Linked DNA regions of Saccharomyces cerevisiae S288C. The protein of the gene in region 1 interacts with the protein of each later gene in a biochemical or structural test. Each region holds a gene or a part of one and is shown on either strand. Other genes may lie near its edges.

Region 1 (8,074 bases):
CCAATTGATTTTTCATAGAATTGTTTTCAGAGAAATGTCTAACCAATTTTAGTAACGCCATTTTATCAGTTTTCTTCAGTTGATAAAGCAACCCAAGAGCATGATATTGAGAAATATAAGTGGAGTTTGGATAATATTCGCTATTACCGTGTTGATTTGGAAATTGTTTCAAATCCAAAACAGCTTCTTGAGTTTCATTGGTGAATCTTCTGATAGTGACTTCTGAAATGGGCAGCAAATGATAAGAAGTACATAATGCTGCTGAGGATATTGAAGGATGTCTACTTACCACGGCACTTTTTAATAACCTTTCAGCGGAAAAAGCAGTAGATTCATCCAAGACATAAGTCAGCGATCTAATAGCGTCAGGCTTAATCAAATCGGAACCGTTTTGAACGTCCTTCATGATTGAAGAGGTTGCCATCAACACATCCTCCGAAATGCCACTCAATTCCTTGATTGCCAAATAAACAGCCTGCCTTAAAGGATCGTTCTGGTGTTGAAATAATTTGGAGATAGAGAAAAATAATGCAGTTGCTTCATTCTGTGGGAAGGTTTCGCCCTGGGCCAAGAGTCTCAGCAAGCGAGAAATCAATAAACGACATCTCTTGGAATTGACAGGTGATTCGTTAAACGTGTTCATACAATCCTGATAAATGGTCATTTTATCAGGTAAATCGCCCGAGGTCGAGTTTTCAAACTTTTTGTAAGTATGTGCAGACATGTTGATTCGCTCTGTGATTTAGTATCGCTTCTTGGCTTTTGTCCTATCCGTATTTGTTTAGTTATTTTGTATTATACGTCGTTCTGTAATGTTTGCGGGCTCACCTGGATGAAGCTAAGAACAAAAAAACGGGTTTAGCAGAATAACTGAAGAAGTACGTTGGTAATGAGCACACACAATTCCTCCCTTGCACTTATTTGTAAAGAATTGTGTTCTCAACAATGCAACTCGTATCCAAAAAAACGCCTATGTATATTTCATTGATCTTGACGAAACCTTTAGATTTCGAAAAAAATAGAATCGTGGTTCGTGGCGTCGTAGTGAATGACACAAGGGGTACATTCCGGGTGATAGGATGAAAAATGGGTAATAGTAATAGTACAGAAGAACCTTCTGGCACTTAACTTAAACCATTCTGAAATATGAGTGGACTTTATACATTTCATGCATATAAATATAACTATACAAAATTAGGAGAGGTGAGGAAGTGAAACTAAAACAAAAAGGCAAGGTTAAAACAATACAGGAAAATAGAAAGAGAAAAACAGTAATATATCTATGGGGATGCATCATGAGGTTTCTTCGTTTAATGTCAGTAGCAATTGTGCCAGACATCTCTTGGACCCGACGTCGTCTCTTAGTACTTCCGTAAAAGTGTTATCTCTCAGTTTGGCAGGTAAGACTATTTTCAATAGCCTGCGTGCTTCGAGATCGTCGCTTAATCTTAAGTAGCATCTAATGATATGTTTCAGTAGTCGTCCCGGTGGTGTGCTCACGGTCAAGTGCTCAACCATATCTTTTAAGACATTAGTTACGGCGTAGAACCTTTCCAAGGTGGCACAGATGTATTGCAATCCAACGTCATCTAGTAGGATTTTCTGTAAAATGAAAATGGCGACTGTCTTGGAAAGCTCAGAAGAAGATTCCATGATCCTTAGGCATAACGGCACGATATCGGTTCTTAGCAAAAACGTTATTACGTCTTGTGAGTCATTTTTGACCAATGCGCCTATCACACCTAATGAAGTCAATCTCAAGTACTCAAAAGTTCTTTGCCTGGAGGTAGTATTTAGGAAGGGGAAAAGAAAGAGAGGAATATGGGCCTGTAAAAAGAGATGTTTTGTCTCTGGGTGAGATGCAACACACTGTAGAAGAACTAGAGCGTTGCATACACGATTTGATAGATTGTTAGAGAGCATCTGAGGTTGCAGCATGGGATATACGGAAATGATTTCGTTCAGCAATGAGGTCATTACACCAAAGGAAGACCAAAGCACAACGGCAAGGTCATCAAACTGTTCTCTTTTGCGACCTAATTCAAGCAGTGCTTGTTCCTTTTGAGGGCCGTAGGTCAATTGACAAATCCAGTGGTATACATTGGGATCATCTAGAGCATGCACTGCGCCTCTATTATTGACCATGTTGGGATTGTTTCGAGTTGCGTTAGCATCGTTACCGCCGTTATTGCCGTTATTGCCGTTGTTCTCGCCATTTTCATTGCTATTATTATTATTCGGAGTATTGCCCATTAGCATGGGGCCTCCACTTGGAATTTGTTGATTCATGCCTGGACCCATTGAAGTTGGAACCCCAGGCATGGACATAGATCCTGGATTATTAGTTGAAGGACCACCACCACCCATGTTCACGCCTGCTCCATTGCCATATATTGGCTTTTGAGCGGAAAACATATTAACTTATTCAGAGGATGTTCAGTTGCTGTCGTTGTTGCTTCAGGAACAAAGTTTAATCTCGTCAAGATCAGCAGAAACACACACACTCGCAAATTTGTCAAAACTTGGGAGTTTTAAAAGATGAACGGTTTCTAACTTGCGTACTCTACGTCTTTGCAATCCCTTTACAATGTCTTCTATGCGTAAATTACTTTAAATTTGGATTTTGCCTCTTGCTGCTCGCAGCAAAATTCTCAGCATGTTGAGGTGTGTGGGTGGAGTTTTTCCTCTCCTGCTAGTAATACTTATGCAAGAATCTACGTCTAATGAGGTGCTCACGTTTTGCAATGATGATATAAATAGGGACAGTAATCTAATATAGACAAGTGGGCGTAATAGGGTTTTCTTCTCTCTCTTATGCATTCTGTAAGCATCTCGCTTTATGTGAGGAATAGTAGTAAAAGCGTATGATACAGGGAAATAGTAGTACTTTTACAATAGTATTGCTACTTGCATTCCCAAAAACATTCAATAAATGCACTTGGTTTCGAGCGTCTTTTGTTTATTTTTAAGTTTTGTTTGTTTTTTTTATTGTTTTGCTTCGTAGTTTCAATTTTAAACATTAATGTGTGCAAAAACTATAAGACAATGGTATACGCAAGAAAAACTATAAGTAGCATATTTAGTCTACTCCGAGCCATATCGGAAAGAACAATGTCGCGTCTTGCAAAGGCTGTTAATACATAGAATAGGCCACTCCAGGCATGTAAATACATGATTGATTGGATGAGCAACACTGAAATGGACCAGTGGCAACCTAACAGGATTTCTGATCTATTTCACGCCCAGAAAAAAGGCGTACATTCTATAATCTACTTAACAGACCTATACAAGCACTGTCCTACATATTTCAAAAGATTTAATTTACATATCGATTCCGTTCAACGTAAACAGTTTGCTCATAATACAGTCACAGATGTGAGAGAAAAAAAAAAAAGAAAATAAAGGAAAATGGATCAGAAATTTGGGTATACTTAATGCTTCATAGGACACCTGAGTACTTGTGGCATCCATGTTCAGACTGGTGCACAGCTTTTTTCTCGTCATTTACCATTTTTCCTTGAATTCATGTTTAATTTTCATCTTCGTCATGTGTTAAGGTACTATTACGAAACAAAATGTTAACGCCTTTGATAAACTTATCAAAGTTACGAGACCGGTTCGCACTACGATACTTTGCTATTGCTTCATTTTTTCTATCATATGTAAAACATAAACCACTGAGAGAAAACTTCTGCATTTAAATCAAATATGTCCGCCTTTTATACTTTAAGAAGAAAAAATTTATCTTTTTTCTTCCTCATATTGCAGGTATCACCCGAATGGAAGTTATAACGGCACAATCACTTAGGGCTTAACATACAATAACAAATACCATTTTTAATGTTGTGTTCAGTTGATTGTTATTATTATTAGGTATCCTTGATTATTTAAATTTATAATATATTATGTATCCGTTAATTATGCTCTATTAAAAATCTTTCTCCCACTAAGAGCCCCGTAAGGGCCATCTTGTTTACCACATTAAAACCCATGTTGACTCATGATCTGTTCCAGATCCCAACTTTGCCTGTTGACATTGTCGTTCCATTTCTCTACCGTCCTGACGTAATTCGTGTTAGCGACTGTGTTGTTCGCTATGTTGGTTACATCTTTTAGCCTTCTTAGATCATTACAACTGTCGACTAGAGTAGCAGAACTTAAATCGGATGCTATCGACACGTTTCTCTGTTTTTCGTAGAGTTTGAATCTGTTGTTTGATCTGATAGGACTCGTGCCAGCACAAGTCCTTCTGTTCATGGACATCATCATGTTAATTCTCTTCCTTTGGTCGCTGGATCTTGCCAAGTCTTGCTTGATGGGCTCTAATAGAGGCTGCAGATCTAGGATCAAATCTTCTGTGTTCACCCTGAGGTCCCAGTTCAACAGCTGTAACAACTGCCTTTCCATAAGGTTGATATCCTCTAGTGTAAAGAGACCATCGGTGTACCTAGCCCAGTGCTTGTTTAAAGGAGAAGAGTCATTGTGAAACTTAGCACTCAGTATCAAACAGGCCAAGAAAATGCGATGGATGGTCGAGGGGAGACCAGTAGCGTCCCTGGGCAGAATACGCTTTAATTTGTTCAAATAGCACGCAGCGGTGAGCAGAGTGGGTGTGTAGACGTTGGTGTATCTGACCAATCTAGTGATAAAAGTCATTAGCGATGGCAGCCTTGTGAGGTGTTTCTCTCCTGGAGAACCGGGAGGCGTGGGGTAGTTGCTTGAAGGAACAACCCTCAATGTTGTGTCTGTTAAGAATTTTATTATGTCATCCGTTACTGGCGACTTGAGCAGAATATGAAGAGCCTTGCTGTATTCACACATTTTATTACTTTACTGTTATTTGTATAATTGATTGTTTTTGTTATCGTTTTTGTTCTTGACAATGGATGATTGCTGATGTACGCAATAGTAATTCCAAGACACAAGAGTTAAGGACAAGCTTATCAATCCCATTACCATGTAGGCCTATTGACCTTATATATGTTTTCCTATCGCTATATGGAAGCTACCATTCCTTTTATTCTCCATAATAACGCCAAAATCTGCCCACAGCCTTGTAGCCTCATTTGGCTCCCGACATTTCGAGTCGCTTTTGCGTCGCATGCCTCCGCGAAAAATTTCGCGCCGGACGCGATTTTTAACACGAAATTCTTGTTCGTGCCGCTGTTGCCCTTTTGGGAAATATTTCCCGATCTGGCATTCGCAGAACACTAGAGCCAGAGTTCTGCCATTCTTTACGTCCAAGAGGTTAAAGTACAGATCACGTAACGGAATGCTACTTTCTGTAACAATTTGGCGATTCGCATTCTCAGTTGTTAGCTAGACGCCAATTGATTTACGGTTTCCGGTATGCAAATTGAAAATGCTTTCATCTATTTCTTTTATTTTTTTTATTTCGTTCTGGGCGTTGTGTTATGTTGTTATATTGCACAATGCAGTTGTTCTGTACATATTGTATCTATACATATTTGCGTCGATTATACGTTGGCTTTAACAGTTTCGTTCTCGAAGCTGGCCTTGATGGCGCCAATGACCGCGCTGCCCTGAATCTGGTCGTTGCCACCCTTGGATATCGAGTACTCTATATCGGCCAGTTTGGTAAGCAAATGCACTCTTGTTTCCTCATTTTGAAGTTCGTAGTCTTCCAGTATCTTCACTATGCCCTCGATTAGGTCGATCAACGCGAGACCCTTGGCACTGCGTACCTTATTAAGTGTGTAGTGGGCGGTACCCCAATCGTCCTCCAGTATCGACTTCAATACTGCCTTTAAGTCACTTGGTCTGGGTGCCCCACAGCATTCATAGATAACGTCGTCACTGATCTCATCCTCGTCGGGATTGTCTAAAGTAGCTTTGCAAGACTGCAAAACGTTTAACACACGTCTCATATCCCCATTAGAAAGTTCTATTAAGGCCTTCTCCGCATTAGGAGACAACTTCAGCTTCTCATGCACCAAGACGTTGGCTATCCGACGCTCAATGGCCTCTTGGGGCAAGGGCTGAAATCTGAATCTCGTGCACCTACTCAATAACGCAGGTGTAAGTTTATGCGCATAATTGGCCAATACACAGAACCGCGTATTCTTGGTGTACCGTTCTATAACTCTTCTCAACGCATTTTGTGCGGCATTGGTCATGGCATCTGCTTCATCCAGTATAATTAACTTGAACCCTTTAGAGAAGATTTGTCTTGTAGAGGCAAAGTCTTTAATTTGATTCCTCACCACATCAATACCTCTGTCATCGGATGCATTCAGCTCCAAAACCATGTTCGAGTAATTCTTACCATATATCTCACGTGCCAAAGCAACAATTGTAGAAGTTTTACCGGTACCTGGAGGCCCATAGAATAGAAGATGTGGCAATTTACCTTCATCTACAAATTTACGAACTGTGGTGATCACCTCATTTTGTCCGTACACTTCGTCCAACGTTTCGGGTCTGTATTTTTCAACCCATGGAAGGTTTTCTTTGCTCCTCTTCTCTGTACTTGTCGACATTCTTGTATGTCGGGCCTGTTCCTACACCTTTTATAAAATTATTCAAGCTTTGAAAAGATATTTATCCTGTGCTCTTTATAGCTTCTTTCCATTTCTTTCAAAATCGCGTACTGACCAAAAAAAAAAAAGATCAAAATTGAGAAGCCATACATAATATAATAATGATATAGTTTCGCTGCCATCGGACCGCAATAGTAACTCTACAAGTAAACGTGTTGTTTTCTCAAGAACAGGTTACTGAAACTGAGCCATTGGTTGCGGAAAATTTCCCTAATAATTTCGACCGGCTGACGTACCGTTTTGGCTATTTCTCAAATACTTGACTGGCTTAACTGCCATACTGAATTGCAGTAAAACCCGTAACACTACAATTTCTGTCCAGCGGCAGTATTATTTCTAAGGATGATAGTGTGGCAAGCACTATTCGTGGTTTACTGCCTATTTACCACTTCTATTCACGGTTTATTCCAAGACTTCAATCCTTTCGCAAATAAGAATATTTCCTTAAAGTTTCCCAGCCTAAATAGATGGGAGAAAAACGTTATGGCTACTGGTCAACAAACAATCATCAATTCGGATAGCATTTATGAATGGACCCCGATCTTATCTAACATAACAGCGGGCAAAAAAGACAGTTTTGTATTTACCATTGACGCAGAAGCCTCCGGTTATGGGTTTGCTCCCACGTATGAAGTGTTAATGTTTATTAGCGGCAATATATGCCAAATGCCCATGAATAGATCAGATGTGGATTTAACAATATACTACTCTTTTAATGAAACGGTTTTAGAGAACCCAAATATAGGTCAAAGTGCAGTTTTTCAGGATGGCTACATCCAAGCATTAGCCATCAGTCCAGTGCAGTCTTCTAGCTCGAACGCTACCTCCACGTATTCAAATCTTTATGTGGTCGCTGAGCTAGTGAATTCCACTACGGAGCAACCTCTGTCCAGTTCCGACGCCTCTGAAAATTGGGAATATAGACTGAGTATCTCTGAGAACGATTTGGTTTTTCAGTGGGATGTAAGGCCTTGGGTAGAGGTCCTGGACACTGATATGAATTCTGCATTACTATCAACGGGGAATGTCACCGCAGACGCCAAAGTTTATCACAATTATTCAATATATGATCCATCCTTGTACGATCTGTATGTTTACTCGTACGAAGATTCTGTTCAACTAAACCAAAACTATAATTTATCTCTTTGTGCTGTGAAAAATGGACCATATTTAGTGTCTTCCCAAAATACATCAAATGCAACAGTTACGTCAAATAGTACAAATCCTTTAGAGCGTACTGACTTGGCGATTCAAAAAAAAATTACAGAATATGGTGGTAGCGTGACAGAAATGTTTTACGTGACAGGACTGAATGCCTCAACAACTTATGTAGCGTACCTGACAAAGAAAATCAGTAATGGTGATGGGTTGTCAAGTGTGGGCGGCATTTTATTTTCACATGTTTATTTTACCACAAGAAGTACCGATGTCTGCTCTTTGATCTTTGGTTTGGACTTCTGCAGTGACGTCGCTTACTCTGTTCCTACATCCTCATTTTCTGTGGGTAATAAAAC
Region 2 (8,362 bases), on another chromosome or scaffold:
TGAGTCTTGTTCTTCTGCAATAGCATTACTATCCATACTGCGCCTGTTCTCAAAGTTAGCCATGCCTTTTAATGTTGTTGATAATGGAACAATTTGAGAAAATTTCACTTCTGCATAAGAGTAAACAACAAATGCCTTTGCGGCCAGAGATTCCAAAATACTAACGATATTAGTATTATCTAATTTCAGTGTCTCTGGATGCTGTAGGTGATCTATTCTTAATATTATATTCTCAGTAAGTTCATGAAAAAGTTGGGAATTCAACAAAGTTTGACTGTACGGTGGGGAAGATGTGATTTGTTGCTGTTGCTGCTGTTGATTTGCACCACCAAACAATCTCGTTGATGCAATACCGAGGGCTCTTGATAATGCATTAGATGGATTCAGCGAGGATATAGACAAGCGTCTATCCACCAAAGATGGTCGCCTAGACCCATCACTACCTCCACTGGAAGATGATGTGGCCCTCAGTAACCTCGGATTTTCTCCTTGATTTTGAAAATACTGTTGATTGTTTGGAGAGAATTGCTCATTCAATAAGACGTTCTGATTTTGAGTTGAAGTTGGGTGCTTAATAGGATTTGGATTGAATCCTGCTTGAGCAACCTCGTCTGCCAATGAATTAACTTCAACCGATTTCTTCTCTACCACCACATATTCTCTTTCAAAGCTTCTATCTGAAACTAGGCTATTATGGTATTTATTATTTGAAGCCTTTTTATCTACGGCTTGTGTATGGTCTGTTTTAACGGCTGGGGCAGTTAATATATTGCTGTTCTTGAGGGCATCACTGAGCTCCGCGGGATTATCTGCCATTGATTGATGACCTGCAAGATTACTGTTCGGACTCTTTGGCTGTTTAGATAAATACTCAGAAACGAACATATTACTTTCTACAATACCTTTTGATTTGGATTCTAACTCAGGTAAATCATCTTCCAATTCATAAGAAGACAAGTCTTCGTTGACTACCTTGTTAGCAAAAAACTCCTCAAATCCTATTCTTTGGGCTGGATCAAATGTCAATAAACTACATATCAACTCTTTTAACTCTGGTTCAATATTGCAATATGAAGGAAACGTTATGACATCGTTTGCTCTTTTAATTTTCTTGAATAACTCCAAATGATTGGAAGCTCTAAACGGTGGGGTGCCACAGCACATTTCGAATACCACTGTACCGACAGACCACAGATCTGCTTTAGCGTTATATTTTTGATAATTCAAAATTTCTGGTGCCATATATAATGGTGAGCCACAAAGAGTTTCTGCTAATGACGTGTTTGGCAAAAATCTTGCAAACCCGAAATCTGCTATCTTTAAAATGGGTAAGTTGTAGATCCCAACAAATCCAAGTTCATGGAAGCTTTTTGAATCATGATATCCAATTAGGGGTGTAGATAATAGTAAGTTTTGAGGCTTGATGTCTCTATGAACCAAGTTTTTAGACCTCAAAAATTTCAAAGCGGACGCTAACTGCTGTAAATAACTCAAGACAAACGCTCTATGCAGGCCGTTATGGTTCTCACTCGGTGGAGGGTATTTTTCAAATACGGTCCTTAGTAGAGGATGATTCTCCATCAATTCTTTACGCCTTTTCAACAGAAATGTTAGGTCCCCAAGAGCACAGTACTCCATGATCAAATAAAAATCTGTTGATGTTCGTTCACAGTCAATAAGTCCGACGATATGAGGATGCTTGATTTTCTTCAAGATAGCGATTTCTATTTCCAAATTCTCTAGTAATTTCTTATTTTTTAATTTCGCCCTTGATACTTCCTTTATGGCTACATGCTGAGATTTGTCGGATGTCAGATGCCCTCTATATACAGTGGCAAACGAACCCTTTCCGATTTCTTTCTCAGCGGTGTAATTTCCTGCACTTGCCATTAGATTATGGTTCACAGAGGTTGTGTGATCTTTATTTTTAATGTCTCCCATTTTCTTAATTTCTCGTCTGGTGTTGTAAAAGAGATTTGAAAATATGGGGTAGCTTCAAATTCGTTTTGTGGAGATATCAATGATTATTCTCCTATCTCCTTTGCCTTATGTTTTTATTATATTATATGTTATTTTATTATGGGTACTATTACTACGATTGTATTATATCTTTTTATCTTCTATAGTACTGTTCTCTGTTTCCCCAGAAACTAAAAAGGGTAAAAGATGGCCTTGGTACTTAACTTAAAGGTGATGAAATGTGGCGTTCTAGAATTAACCTCGGCCTAAAAAATAAAAAGCTAAAAAAAAATAGTACGATCAGGAAGATATTAATAATATAAGCTCCTTTATGAGATGCTCGATTCCTTTTGTTGCCAACTAAATGACGCTTAGAATTCCATCGATTCCACGATCGATATAGTTACAAATCACAAACTGATGCTGATGGGGGAAATGGTTTAAGAAATCAGAGCCGAGCGGTTAAAAAGAAAAACAGATGCTTGAATACGAATGATATGCTTGCTTCTTTAACGGTATGGCTTTCCAGTAATAGTTACTCCGATAAGATTCATTACAGATACACGAAACGAACAAGGAAAAGATGATTAACGGGAAAAAAAGAGAGTTCCTTATCTCATTGATTTTAACTAGTGGGTTTTCCTTACATTACCGCCCAATCCCTTTTTTTTTTCTCGCTCTCACCGGCGGAGCGCGAGCGGAAAACGCCACCCAGGTGACTTTTGCGCTAAGTGTGGATCAAATACAGTGGTATTAGTCATTGATGTGCAGCGTAAAACGTCCGGAGCAGCTGTGTAATGCGGCTGTGTAGGGTGAATACAATAGAGAATATGACTAATTCTGGTATATAGTCGTTGTTTACAGATATCTTTCGTTACTTAGTGTCATTTAATTACTTAGTGTCACTCTATATGATATGTAATGCGGAGCAGCGGCAATGTATCTTATTTTTATTGTGTGTAGAAATAACCTTGTGGCAGGTTTCCTCCTTGCGACATTTGCTGAAAAGATAATGGCGCCTGTTGCTGTTGCTGCATCTGAAGCTGTTGCATCTGGATCTGCTGTGCTTGAGCCTGAGCCTGGGCCTGAGCCTGAGCCTGAGCCTGAACTTGAGCCTGTGCCTGTGCCTGTGCCTGAGCCTGAGCCTGTGCGACAGCAAGCTGTTGCTGTTGCTGTTGCTGCTGTTGCATAGCCATGGCGTATTGCTGCTGATCTACATATATCATTCCGGTAGCAGGATCGTAATACTGTTGAAGGGTACCATCGAAAACTGCTGGCTTTGCTTGTACAAAAGATGCTGAATTTGAAGTAAAATCTGGCGTGATTACATTTGTACCATCAAAAATAGCTGGCTGTGGGCCACTTGTTGTCGCACGTCTCCTGGGCAGGGGCGGAGTTGATGTTGTCGCTGCTGCCGATACACTATTTCTTGAACTTGAACTTTTTTCTAGATAATCGATTGCTCTATTGATATTTCCGTGAGCGGACGATAATGCATCTAAATTTTTGTTTGTATCACCGAAACCCATGTCCTTGAGTTCTGCCAGTTGCCTAGAATATCTGCTTCCACTGCTTTGGAATGAGTCCCTGGAACCGCCGTAGTCAGACCTATTATGGCCCCCTTTATAGAAAGAATGAGATCTGCTCCTGCTCCTACTTCTATTTCTTTCATCAAACCTGTCCGATTCCCCATCAAAATCATCCATTCTGGATCCAAAGTCTTCAGGCTTTATTTCATCATACCTGAATTTACCCAAAATATACTTGTCTCTAATGTAATGCTCCACGATGGCTTTGTCATCATCTCCATCAAAAGGAAAAGGGACATTTTTAGGATTCCAGAACCGAGCATTCCCCTTATTGCCTCCAAGACTCACTAATTCATCGATATCCTCTCTTGTCCATCTATCCATTGATAGTGATTTAACGTTAGAAAAGGCATCGTCGTCTCTGCTACCGAAAACTTTTCTATGAACAGAGGCACACCTACCACAAAGGAAAACCCCCAAATTAACTGAGCACCAAGTTGGGTAGAAATTACCACATTCACCGCATTTATTGGCATTCTCGGACGAATTAATCAACTCCTTTAATTCTCTGTCAACATGTTTTAAGCTATGGGAAGAACTCCTAAACCTCATTTTTGACTAAGTATAAATAAACTATAATCTGTGATTGACAGAACGCTGCCTCCATCTATATTAATGATTGATCAAGAGAAAATGTTCTTCTTCCACCCTTTTGTGAAGCATTTAGAGATCAACACTAACTTTCTTCAACTTACAATAATTTCCGGGTGCCCCCATTTATCGATTACCCGGATCCGCTTTGCATCATAGTGTGTCGTTGTCGAAACAAAAGCGCCGTATTATTTGGTCAACGTTTAATAAAGTAAAAGCAGCATTTGAGATGCTCTATACAACCTTCTTAATTGCAACCGACATAAAGGTATGTTTTTCTCTTCTTATTATGACAAGGGAAACTTGAAGAAGAATTCGTGTCTTGCCATAATTTCAGCATCATCGTCTCAACCTAAGCCTCTTCTCACGAAGGCACGCTCAAATATCTTTCTGGCTCTAAAAATCTTGAATAACGAACCGAATTTACCATCTTTCCTGCTTTTTTATGCGTCGAAAAAAAGTAAAATAACCGCCCAGATCACGAAATTGCATATAAAAGGCGATCTCCCGTCCCACCGTTATTCTTTGCGATATAGACTAAACGGCGGAAACTTTATGTGTAGTATCATAAACATTCAACAATGGTATGTCTAATAAAACCATCATGGTACACAGGACTGAACACTAACTTATAGACGGGTGCGTGCTACCCTCTTCTTATTATTAGGGGCCAAAGAGACAGACAGTATCACTCCAAGAGAAAAAGAACCGGATTCTGAACTTTTTTCAAGAGACGTACACATTCTACAACATCAAGGAATTAGAGAAAAGCATACCTAAAAAATGCGGAATCTCACCCATGATCGTTAAAGATTTAGTGCAACAAATGATTGATGAAGACGGCGTCATTTCGGTGGAAAAATGTGGTAATATTAACATCTACTGGTGCTTTAAAAATCAGACACTGCAAAAATTGTATGATTCAAGCGAGTTGATAAAAAAAAAGATACAGGAAGTAAAGTGTGATATTGCCACTTATAAACAAGAACTAGACAAAACGCTAGCAACTGGAAGGCGTAAAAAATTTACGGTAGGCCAAAAATCATACAATAGGGAGGCTCTACTGGAAAAGAGAAAAAAAATTCAGGATGAAATTAAGAAAAAGAGTAATAGTCTCCAAAAAATAGAAAGCATTAGATGGGATGCAGCAAAAATACAAGAGAATAAACAACAGATCCGCCTAAAAAAAGTGCATCTGGAGAAAACTACTGATAACATTGAGATTCTCATTGATTATTTATACAAGAAATTCTTTTTGAAGCCAGAACAGATAAGAAAAGAATTTGGAATTCCAGAAGAGTTCAAGGAATTTACGGAGGTTTAACCTTCATGCACTATACACGAAAGAACAAAAGTGTCTTGATTATTACATCTACATTTCCAGGCATAGAGCTTGCAGATTAGCCGCCCATAAATTTGCCACACTGTTTTCCGTGGCGCCACAGTCCGCGTTTGGTTATCCGGCTGACTCATTCTGACTCTTTTTTGGAAAGTGTGGCATGTGCTTCACACAATATAATTCCCGTGAGCACAGCATGCTTCGGGCCGAAGTCTGTTGGAGGCATATGCTCCTACCTTGGAAGACTCATCGCATCTCAAAAGTGTGTAAAGGGGCCTTCTGGCCATATATCCTCTGAGACCTGGTTGAAATGTGGCCAGAAGCAAAGCTGATAAAAACAACTGGCGCATACGTAGCTATATTTTAAATAAATAAATAAATAAATATATATATATATATATATATATATATACATATATATACAGTCATTGCCACACATCCCATAGCTCTGTGTGCTTACAGTTCATTAAAAACAAAAAATATCAAGCAAACAACAAAAGCATAGAAGCAAAAAGATGCCGATCAAGAGATTAGATACAGTTGTGGTAAATACCGGCTCTCAAAATGACCAACATTCAGCCTCCGTGCCACCGGTGTATTTGTCGACTACCTTCAAAGTGGACTTGAATAATGAAGATGCACAGAACTACGATTATTCCAGATCGGGAAACCCGACCAGAAGTGTCCTTCAACACCAGATTGGTAAGCTTTATCGTGTCCCACAGGAAAACGTATTAGCTGTGAGCAGTGGTATGACGGCGCTAGACGTCATCCTGCGTGGGCTCGTCTTACTTAACGGCACTGACAACCATACGCCAACAATAATAGCCGGCGATGATCTTTATGGAGGCACCCAAAGGCTGCTGAATTTTTTCAAGCAACAGAGTCATGCAGTCTCTGTTCATGTGGACACTTCCGATTTTGAAAAGTTCAAAACCGTTTTCCAGTCTTTAGATAAAGTTGATTGTGTTCTTCTAGAGTCTCCGACCAATCCGCTTTGCAAGGTTGTAGATATCCCTAGAATATTACGTTTTGTGAAATGCATATCTCCCGACACTACAGTTGTCGTTGATAATACTATGATGAGTGGACTCAATTGTAATCCTCTTCAACTGAATCCAGGCTGCGATGTCGTATACGAATCTGCTACCAAGTACTTGAATGGTCATCACGATTTGATGGGGGGTGTTATTATCAGCAAAACACCAGAAATAGCCTCGAAGCTTTACTTTGTCATTAATTCTACAGGAGCTGGATTATCCCCAATGGATTCTTGGCTACTTGTGAGGGGCCTAAAAACTCTAGGAGTTAGATTATATCAACAGCAGAGAAATGCTATGATATTGGCTCATTGGCTAGAAAATTCATGCGGATTCAAACCTACCAGAACAAACAAGGCTACGAAAACTAGATTTGTTGGATTACGCTCCAACCCGGATTTCAAGCTGCATAAATCGTTCAATAATGGCCCAGGTGCCGTGTTATCCTTCGAAACGGGGTCCTTCGAACATTCAAAGAGACTGGTCAGTTCCAAAAAACTGAGTATATGGGCTGTGACGGTATCTTTCGGGTGTGTAAATTCGCTTCTATCTATGCCTTGCAAAATGTCCCATGCTTCCATTGATCCCGAATTAAGGAAAGAGAGAGATTTTCCTGAAGATTTGGTTCGTCTTTGCTGCGGTATCGAAAATATAGTAGATTTGAAGAAAGATTTATTAGCGGCGATGGTTGACGCTGATATTATAGAAGTAAGAGAAAATGGCAAATATCTTTTCAACAAATTGAATAAGAACCTAGCTGTGAACACTACCATCGATGACCTGCATAAGCCTTTAAGTATTTACGAAGAATTTTACAATCAAGATCTCATCAGAAAGGACTCAGAATTGAATATTAAGAGTTCGAAATTGTAAGGGAAAATATGCATGTACCTTTTTTTTTTTTTTTTATAAGGTTCAAATCCAAAGATAGTAACTTTAAATAGTCAAGTATATAGACAGAATTTCAAGAACAGTAAGTATATTAAACTTTTACAGCCTTTCGGGCTGTTCCGTAAGCTCTTACTACTACCCTTGGGAAACGCACGCGCGAAGGAGGAAAGTTTGCCTCAATGAACGTGTGTAATGGCGGTCGTAAAAGGAATATAGAAATAGCTGTGCTTTTATAACTTCACTCGACAATGGGTTGACAGCAGATTTAGAAGGAAAAGAGCATACAAAAAATGTGCGATTCTCCTGCAACGACTGGAAAGCCTACTATTCTTTTCATCGCAGATCCGTGCGAAACATCAGCCACACTTAATTCCAAGGCATTCAAAGAGAAGTTCAGGATCTTGCGCTATCAGCTGGACACCAAAGAAGCATTTCTTAACTTTTTAGAAAGGCATGAACAAGACAAAATATGTGCCATTTATGCTGGGTTTCCGGCATTCAAAAAAATCGGTGGGATGACTCGAAGTATCATCGAACACAAGTCATTTCCAAGGAAAAATTTAAAATGTATCGTGCTTTGCTCAAGAGGTTACGACGGATGGGATCTGGATACATTACGCAAGCATGAAATTCGATTATACAACTACCAAGACGATGAAAATGAAAAATTGATAGACGATTTAAAGCTTCATCAAGTCGGTAATGATGTGGCAGATTGTGCCTTGTGGCACATTCTGGAGGGCTTTAGAAAGTTCTCCTATTACCAAAAACTTAGTAGAGAAACTGGAAATACATTAACTGCAAGGGCGAAAGCTGCAGAAAAGAGCGGATTTGCTTTTGGCCATGAACTGGGGAATATGTTTGCTGAATCACCAAGAGGAAAGAAATGCTTAATTCTTGGTTTAGGAAGTATTGGAAAGCAAGTAGCCTACAAGTTGCAATACGGGCTAGGA
Region 3 (8,828 bases), on another chromosome or scaffold:
GGCTGACACAGAAATTGACCGAGAATCAGGCATTAGATTGATGGCATGCTTTGATCATGAGGAGATTGGCTCATCCTCCGCCCAAGGGGCAGATTCTAACTTCTTGCCTAATATATTGGAAAGGTTGTCCATCCTGAAGGGGGACGGTTCTGATCAAACTAAACCTTTGTTTCACTCGGCAATATTGGAAACTTCCGCTAAGTCGTTTTTCCTTTCATCTGATGTTGCTCATGCAGTTCATCCAAACTATGCAAACAAATACGAAAGCCAACACAAACCCTTATTGGGTGGTGGTCCCGTAATCAAGATTAACGCGAATCAACGTTACATGACCAATTCACCAGGGTTGGTCTTGGTGAAAAGACTAGCAGAGGCTGCTAAAGTCCCTTTGCAATTGTTTGTCGTAGCTAACGACTCACCATGCGGTTCTACCATCGGCCCCATTTTGGCCTCAAAGACAGGTATTAGAACTCTAGACTTGGGTAATCCTGTGTTGAGTATGCATTCGATTAGAGAGACCGGTGGCTCTGCAGACCTGGAGTTCCAAATCAAGTTATTTAAGGAATTTTTTGAACGCTACACTTCCATAGAATCTGAAATTGTTGTCTAAACTGCAATTGTTAGATGATTCATAATCCGGTATATTTATTGCCCTCTTTTGTATTTTACAAATAGTAAATATATATAATATCTTGTGATCTACATAAGCTTTCGCGGGGTCTTCAGAAAAATAAAAAGTTTTTAAAAGAATATACGCTTAGCAAAGGAATAGACAGATTTAGTTTGTACGCAAATAGTTTTTGAAGAAGGTAGCAGATTGATCAATTTTGTATGAGCGGAAATCTATCCTTAAACGCCAACTACTACATTACTTGCAATAAAAATGAGTGCAGATTTATCGATTGGTAATGAAATTAAAGATTCATTTAAGGAAACCCATAAATGGGTCCAAAATAACTTAAAATGGTTGAAGGACATTGAGCAATTTTATCGGGAAAGGGCTAAGTTAGAAAAAGACTACAGCGAGAGATTATCTCGCTTATCAGCAGAGTACTTTAATAAGAAGTCTTCGACCTCAGTTCCTATCTCGGTAGGTGACACACCTACTACCACGCCAGGGTCCATTGAAGCTGCAGGTGTGGTTGCATGGAATGAAATTCTATCTCAGACTGATATGATTTCCAAGGATCATGATCAGTTATCAACCGACTTTGAAAATCATGTAGCAAATCAATTGAGTGGATTATTCACTAAACTTGATATGACTTTGAGCAAGATAAATGGATTTAACAATGACATGGTTAATAAAAAGGATAACATTTACCACGAACTGGAAAAAGCGAAGAAGGACTATGATGAAGCCTGTTCCACTATGGAAATGGCAAGAAATAGGTATACCAAGGCATCTAATGATAGAAATAAAAAGAAGTTGGATGAAAAAGAAATGGAGATGAACAAGTGTAAAAATGAATATTTAATCAAGATCAACCAGGCAAATAGAACTAAGGATAAATACTATTTTCAAGATGTTCCTGAAGTGCTAGATCTTCTACAAGACGTAAATGAGGCAAAGACCCTTTTCTTAAATGATCTGTGGTTGAAGGCGGCTTCTGTCGAGAACGATCTGGGTGCAAATGTCAGCAAAAGACTCCAGGCGGCAAATTCTGTTGTCAAGCAGAATAAACCCTCTTTAAACACGGCCATCTTTATCAAGCACAATCTAAAGAATTGGAAAGAACCACAAGACTTTGTCTATAAGCCATCTCCAGTATGGCATGATGATGAAAAATTTGCTGTTCCCTCGTCGTTGGAAGTTGAAGACTTGAGAATAAAACTGGCAAAAGCAGAAAATGATTACAATTCATTGCAAGATAAAACTCAAAATGAGTTATCCAAACTGTCTACTTTGAACAAGATAAAGCACGAAATGAAAACTAATGAAGATAATATCAATGCCACTAAGTTTTATGATACACTAAAGGAATACTTAAATGTCGTTTCACCCTTTACCTCACACGAAACATTAAAATTGCAAGCCGAAGTTCAAATCGAAAGTATTCAGAATAATGTTCCTGAAGAATACGATTTATCCACAGACAATATTGATCTTTCCAAAACAAAGAAGAAATCCGGGATATTCAGTAAGTTCAAACACAACATCCTGAACGTCGACTCGAAGCCTTCGAGTGGAGGGAGCACTGGTAATGGCAACGGAGGACCCTTGCATATAACAAGTCTCTTCAACACATCAAGAAGAACTAGGCTAGGCTCTGCCCCTAACAACGCTGGTGAAGATTCAGATAATAATTCTATACGCACCACTAGTACCAACAATACAAAAAAGACCACACAAAATTCCAGTGATGACGGCAAGAATAAAGTGTTGTATGCATACGTACAAAAGGATGATGACGAAATCACCATTACGCCAGGAGACAAAATCTCTTTGGTTGCACGCGATACGGGTTCTGGATGGACTAAGATAAATAACGACACCACTGGGGAAACCGGCCTTGTACCCACCACATATATTCGCATATCTAGCGCGGCTACAGTTAAAGCAAATGATAGAGGCCCTGCACCAGAAGTACCACCACCAAGAAGGAGTACACTACCTGTTAGGACGATGGAGGCCATATATGCCTACGAAGCACAGGGAGATGATGAGATTTCAATTGATCCGGGGGACATAATTACTGTTATCAGAGGCGATGACGGTAGCGGGTGGACATATGGTGAATGTGACGGATTGAAAGGTCTATTTCCTACAAGTTACTGTAAATGAACGAAGGAATGAACTGAAACTATTAAATATTTTCCCTGGCCGCCACTTTTTTGAGAGGTATGACGACTCTATGTTATATATATATATATATATATATATATATATAGCACAAAATTTCATGTGATCAATCTACTAGGCGAACACCTAAATTGTTATTTATTTCCATGTCTATATCCATTTCAATGTCTGGCTCATCTTCGTCCTCGTTTTCGAATTCGGATTCAGATTCGGATTCCAAGGTAGTCTCCAAATCACAGTTTGTCCTACAGTTCGGACACATGAATTGAGGATAATTCATAATAACCAATCTTCTTACACAATGAAAATGCCAACTATGGGCACATGGTGATATAAAAATGGCTTGGCAAGGTTTTATTTTGTTTAGACAAATGGAACAGTCTTCTTGTTCTAAACCAGTAGTTAGTTTCTGTAGATTTTTTATTCGGCTCAAGGCTTCTTTATTAAATGCATTGGCCTTTAATTTCCAAGACTTGTTCAATTCTATTTTCATCTTAACACAACGATATATCTCTTCCGTCCCGCCGCGAAAGTCCATACCCAGCTGTATGATATCTCCGTCATGTAAAAGGTAGTCCTTAGAAGTGGTAGACGCAGAAGATAGACGCTGGTGGTTCAAAAAGGTCCCACTGGAAGACTTGACATCTTTCAAAAACCAGTTTCCTTGGTCATCAACTTTGAAACACCCATGGGTCCTGGATATCACTTTTGATTTGAACACTACGGGATGATACTGATCTGGAATTTTGGAAATTGCCTCTCTTACTCTTTCGGTGTATCTTCCGATGATAATTTGCGAGCCTGCGCCCGCAGTCCTGATAATGGGGTCAAAGAAAAGACCCTGGTTAGCCACAGACGTGGATGAAGTATCTATAAACGGGGTTAGCCTAATGCTGAAAAGCCCGTGCTTGTCCATTCTGCGTTTCAAAGTAGATTGGTCTATCCGTTCCGGTAGCGAGGTATTTGGTGGGAGATGTATATCAAGTGAAAACTCCGTCTGATTGACTTGGTTTGGAGGATATATGAAATGGCGGATACTCTTTGTAGTGTTCACCGCGGGGGCTGTATTCGTCTCCACAGTGGCAGCAGCAGCAGCAGTAGCACCAACATTGCCGTTTGCGCTACCGTTATTTGCAACGACTAAAGAAGTAGCCGTACGCGAGGGCAAAATACCTAAACCATTGCTAACGCTATTATTATTGCTGTTATTGTTAGGCGTATCGTTAATGGTGAGAGAGATGGATATCGGTAGTCTGATGGGATTGTTGAACTTGGTGTGATCGTGAGAGGTAGCGATGCCAGAAGCAGCAGGTGGCGTCTGGTTTGGGGGAGATGAGGGAACAGTATTAGTAGACATCCAGGAATAACCACTATACAGAACGTATGTGCACAGGAAATCGACACTGTAAGAAGAAAAGCTCACGGCACAAGAGTCAGAAACAGGGCAGTGAACAAAGAACGAGAAGTACGGTTTACAGTTGAGCCGTACACCGAGTTCCTCTTTGAATAATATCGAACCTATACACTAATGCACTAATGTGTTTCTGTTCACACCCAGAATTCTAAGGCTCCTGCTGATCCCAATGCTAAGGTTTATCAATTTTCTCATTCTCTTTGTGGGCCGTAAACAGTGATATTCTCTCACGAGAGCGCTTAAAGAGAATGGAGAAGCCCAGCCCCACCAGGCGGCAAACTAGTAGTCTCTCCACTATCTCCAACGGTATGACCATGACCAACGATAATAGGGATACCACAAATACCAACAGTGGCTCTACAAGCAGCAACAATTCACAACCATCTTCGTCTTCCACGCCACCAGCGGCCAGTGGACCCGTAACGGACAGAACCAAAGTCAACTATGTACCAAAGAGCGACGATCCGTCGTCATTTCAATACTACCCAGACGACCCGGAGAACCCGGTCAATAAGTATAAATTCGCGTTAAAGGCTGACAGTCAGTACTATGATCCTTGTGAGGAGTCCTCCAAGCTCAGTTTTCAGTGCCTCGAGCGCAACGATTACGACCGATCCAAGTGCCAAGAATATTTTGACGCATACCGCGAATGCAAGAAACAATGGCTGACAGCCAGGAGGAAAAACAGACAGCAGTGGGAATGAGGCAGCCTTTTCTTCTTGTTTGTTCAGCTGTGATCTGTTTTCTATATAGATCGCCACTACGCGACGTAGTGTTCCGACAGGCAGCCACAGCACACTCTAGTGCAATGTGAAAAACTAATTCGCAATGGTATGTAAATAAGCAAGCTAAATTGGATTTTCAAAGTGCGAATAAAGAATTTTTTGTATATATCTCTACATACTTGTATATACCGAACATAAGAAGCTCTTATGGCCGAAAACTCCCTCCTGAGGTTTATCACCAAGAACAAAGTGGCCATCCTAGCAACGGTCTCTGCGGGGACTGCTGCTGTGGGTGCTTATGTTTACTACCAGCAAATTAAGCAGCAGCAACAGCAGCAATTGAAGGGTACAAAAGACAACCGACGTCAAAGTGAGGCCTTTGCTGGTCAAAATGAAGACGAGGCGGACTTAAAGGACGACGGCAGCGTCGTAAGTGGAAGTAATAAGAGGAAGAAGAAGAAGAATAAACGCAAGAGGAACAATAAGGCAAAATCGGGAGAAGGGTTTGACTATCCCTCCTTGCCCAATGGCGAGCCTGATATTGCCCAATTGAAAGGCCTATCACCCTCCCAGAGACAAGCGTATGCCGTGCAACTGAAGAACAGAGGTAACCACTTCTTCACTGCTAAGAATTTTAATGAGGCCATCAAATACTACCAGTATGCCATTGAGCTGGACCCGAATGAACCAGTGTTCTATTCCAACATATCTGCTTGTTACATTTCTACGGGCGACTTAGAGAAGGTTATAGAGTTCACTACAAAGGCACTTGAGATAAAACCTGACCATTCTAAAGCCTTGCTGAGACGTGCATCTGCCAACGAGTCACTGGGCAACTTCACTGATGCTATGTTTGATCTATCTGTTTTGTCATTGAATGGTGACTTTGATGGAGCCTCCATTGAACCTATGCTGGAAAGAAATTTAAATAAGCAAGCAATGAAAGTACTAAATGAAAACCTATCGAAGGATGAAGGCAGAGGCTCGCAGGTTTTGCCGTCTAACACATCTCTGGCGTCATTTTTTGGGATTTTTGACTCTCACTTAGAAGTTTCTAGTGTGAACACCAGTTCAAACTACGATACTGCATACGCTCTATTGTCAGATGCTTTGCAAAGACTATATTCTGCAACAGATGAAGGTTACTTAGTAGCAAACGATCTTTTAACAAAGTCCACTGACATGTACCACTCTCTACTTTCTGCAAATACAGTGGACGATCCTTTAAGAGAGAATGCTGCCTTGGCATTGTGCTACACGGGTATTTTCCATTTCTTAAAAAATAACCTGTTAGATGCCCAAGTTCTTTTACAAGAATCTATAAACCTGCATCCAACACCAAATTCGTACATATTTTTGGCATTGACCTTGGCCGATAAAGAAAACTCTCAAGAATTTTTCAAATTTTTCCAAAAAGCTGTTGATCTAAACCCTGAGTATCCGCCAACCTATTACCACCGTGGGCAGATGTATTTTATTCTACAAGATTATAAAAATGCCAAGGAAGATTTCCAAAAGGCCCAAAGCTTGAACCCTGAAAATGTTTATCCCTACATTCAATTAGCCTGTTTGTTGTACAAGCAAGGTAAATTTACCGAATCTGAAGCTTTTTTCAATGAAACAAAGTTGAAGTTTCCTACCTTACCTGAGGTGCCCACCTTTTTCGCTGAAATCTTGACAGATAGGGGCGATTTTGATACTGCAATTAAACAATATGATATTGCTAAAAGGTTGGAAGAAGTGCAAGAAAAAATACATGTGGGTATAGGACCCTTGATTGGGAAAGCAACTATATTAGCTAGACAATCCTCTCAAGATCCAACCCAGTTGGATGAAGAGAAATTCAACGCAGCCATTAAGCTGCTGACAAAAGCCTGTGAATTAGATCCACGATCTGAACAAGCGAAGATCGGGTTAGCACAACTAAAATTACAAATGGAAAAAATTGACGAGGCCATAGAATTGTTTGAAGATTCTGCAATTTTAGCAAGAACTATGGATGAAAAACTTCAAGCTACTACCTTCGCGGAAGCTGCAAAGATACAAAAGCGTTTGAGGGCTGATCCAATCATAAGTGCAAAGATGGAGCTAACATTAGCTCGTTATAGGGCTAAAGGCATGCTTTAGAAGATATGTCAGGTATTGGTCAAATATATACTTTTAGTTAATACTGGATATGTTATAAAGGTTCTGTTAATGCCAAATCCATTTCAATTCTTTTCTTCCAAATATTGTACTGGTCGTCTGTGACCAAAATATTGGTGGTTTGTAACATCGATCCCAGTTTCCTAAATATAATTTCATCGTATCTGATGCCATCAAAATCATCATACCTAATTTGCAAATCTCTGAACCATTTTTCACCGATAATTAATTCCTTCACTAATTTTACACATTCAATAACATCATCCACTTTTGACGTCAACATCAAGCTGCACATCTTACTGACTATAAAATGGTCAATTCTTGGATCCTTGCGTCTTCTTTCATTAAATACAATGAATGTACAATTTAATACTAACCCACACACTAATTGCCATGGGCAAACCAATCTTGACGCGTTTATGTTGTACTCATCCACAATTTTATATGCTACTTCTCTTGGTAATTCAAAATCGTTGCAAAGCCGTATTATTTCTTCAGTAGTCATTTTGCAATACTTCTTTACTAACAAAGAATTTGGTATTCTGCCCCTTTTCCTCAGGGCTTTTGCCGTCTTCAATTCTGATTGCGGTTTTCCAACTGCCTTATTTTGTTTCGTTCTCCCGCTTCTGCTTTCTTGCACACCTAATGGCTCTTCCTCACTTGTAGGGTCACTTTCATGGTTTTCATACTCATCAGAATCTACATTTCTGGTTCCAGTAATGCTCTTATTACTATGGCTTTTTAAAGACAAACCGTCGTTTCCTGGTTCCTCTTCATCCTCATCCTCATCCTCTTCAAATGCTAACTTTCTCCTAGTAATAGACGGCGATTCATTGGTTTGCATGGGGGGTAGTTCTGGTATTACGAACGAATCATTATTTTGGCTTTTCCTAACTTTAGTTGGTGTACCAAACAGTTGATTCCTCAACTCTTTCGGATCAGAAGAAGTAAACCTCCCACCGTTCTTTACTGGACTGCGTTTGTTCTTTTTGGGGCTCGGTGTCCAAGCAAATTGTTTCATAGGTGAAGAATTAGATAAACTTTGTCTGAAAAGGTTCATTAAATGCTTGGCTTTTTTCGGCTCCAAGGGAATACTGTCTATATAATAGCAAAGGTCAGGCATGTGTTTTTCATTCATTTTCTGTGACGCTATGTATGCACATATGTGACATCTAGCAACCTCTTCATCTTGTTTCAGCATTACCTTGTTCAGTGAAGTATTATATAAAATCGATGTCGCATTAGTCAACTTCTTCAAATATCCGCTCGACCAGTCCGGTTTTTCTTGTGGATCTAGTCGAAGTACTTCTGCGACACAATGTTGGACTTGTTGCATGGACATGACTGGTTTTAATGGTATTGTTTTGGCCAATTTTATTTACTGATATTGTACACTTTTTTCTGCAATTTTAGTGTGAGATTTTTTTTTTCAATGCCGATTTCTTACTAACGTAAACAACGGCAAAGAACAAAGAAATACACAGTTTTATCACAAAGAGTTGATTTTTGCTGAAGAGAAGCGTGAGGAGTGTATTCGAAAGCCTTGCATATTCTGGACACTTGCGATTCTAGCTCTTTACGGACGCCCGCATTCTTTTTTCATACTCTGTTTCGTGCTGCTTTCACACAATATTTTTCAAAAGTTTCTTCTCATCGTTTTTCTGTTAGCAACCCTCAACTTACGAGAGAGTTGCGACTAGCATAGGTAACATTCCTTATTTGTTGAATCTTTATAAGAGGT

Evidence for each region. The genes of interacting proteins can lie anywhere in the genome.
Region 2: of the proteins of PCL1 (region 1) and GTS1, one has a biochemical effect on the other in vitro, tested with the Saccharomyces cerevisiae proteins (one study listed by BioGRID).
Region 3: of the proteins of PCL1 (region 1) and DMA1, one has a biochemical effect on the other in vitro, tested with the Saccharomyces cerevisiae proteins (2 studies listed by BioGRID).

The regions. Positions count from the first base shown.
Region 1 is NC_001146.8:84,644-92,717, reverse strand, and holds PCL1 (Pcl1p), read right to left. Parts: upstream 4,822-8,074; coding exon 3,982-4,821; downstream 1-3,981. Other genes in the region: SEC21 (coatomer subunit gamma), read right to left, coding at 1-724; CCR4-NOT core subunit CAF40, read right to left, coding at 1,294-2,415; RFC3 (replication factor C subunit 3), read right to left, coding at 5,478-6,500; MID1 (Mid1p), read left to right, coding at 6,903-8,074. UniProt on the Saccharomyces cerevisiae protein: G1/S-specific cyclin partner of the cyclin-dependent kinase (CDK) PHO85. Essential for the control of the cell cycle at the G1/S (start) transition.
Region 2 is NC_001139.9:153,644-162,005, reverse strand, and holds GTS1 (Gts1p), read right to left. Parts: upstream 4,101-8,362; coding exon 2,910-4,100; downstream 1-2,909. Other genes in the region: serine/threonine protein kinase ATG1, read right to left, coding at 1-1,941; MND1 (Mnd1p), read left to right, coding at 4,721-4,723, 4,807-5,463; cystathionine beta-lyase STR3, read left to right, coding at 5,994-7,391; YGL185C (putative hydroxyacid dehydrogenase), read left to right, coding at 7,700-8,362. UniProt on the Saccharomyces cerevisiae protein: Appears to modulate the timing of budding to obtain an appropriate cell size independent of the DNA replication cycle. Transcription factor involved in both heat resistance and flocculation.
Region 3 is NC_001140.6:337,200-346,027, forward strand, and holds DMA1 (ubiquitin-conjugating protein DMA1), read right to left. Parts: upstream 4,161-8,828; coding exon 2,910-4,160; downstream 1-2,909. Other genes in the region: APE4 (aspartyl aminopeptidase), read left to right, coding at 1-610; BZZ1 (Bzz1p), read left to right, coding at 884-2,785; COX23 (Cox23p), read left to right, coding at 4,466-4,921; protein channel TOM71, read left to right, coding at 5,150-7,069; ORC6 (origin recognition complex subunit 6), read right to left, coding at 7,122-8,429. UniProt on the Saccharomyces cerevisiae protein: E3 ubiquitin-protein ligase which functions in cell cycle retarding in conjunction with the UBC4 and UBC13/MMS2 complex, 2 E2 ubiquitin conjugating enzymes. Involved in nutritional control of the cell cycle. Targets the G1 cyclin PCL1 for destruction.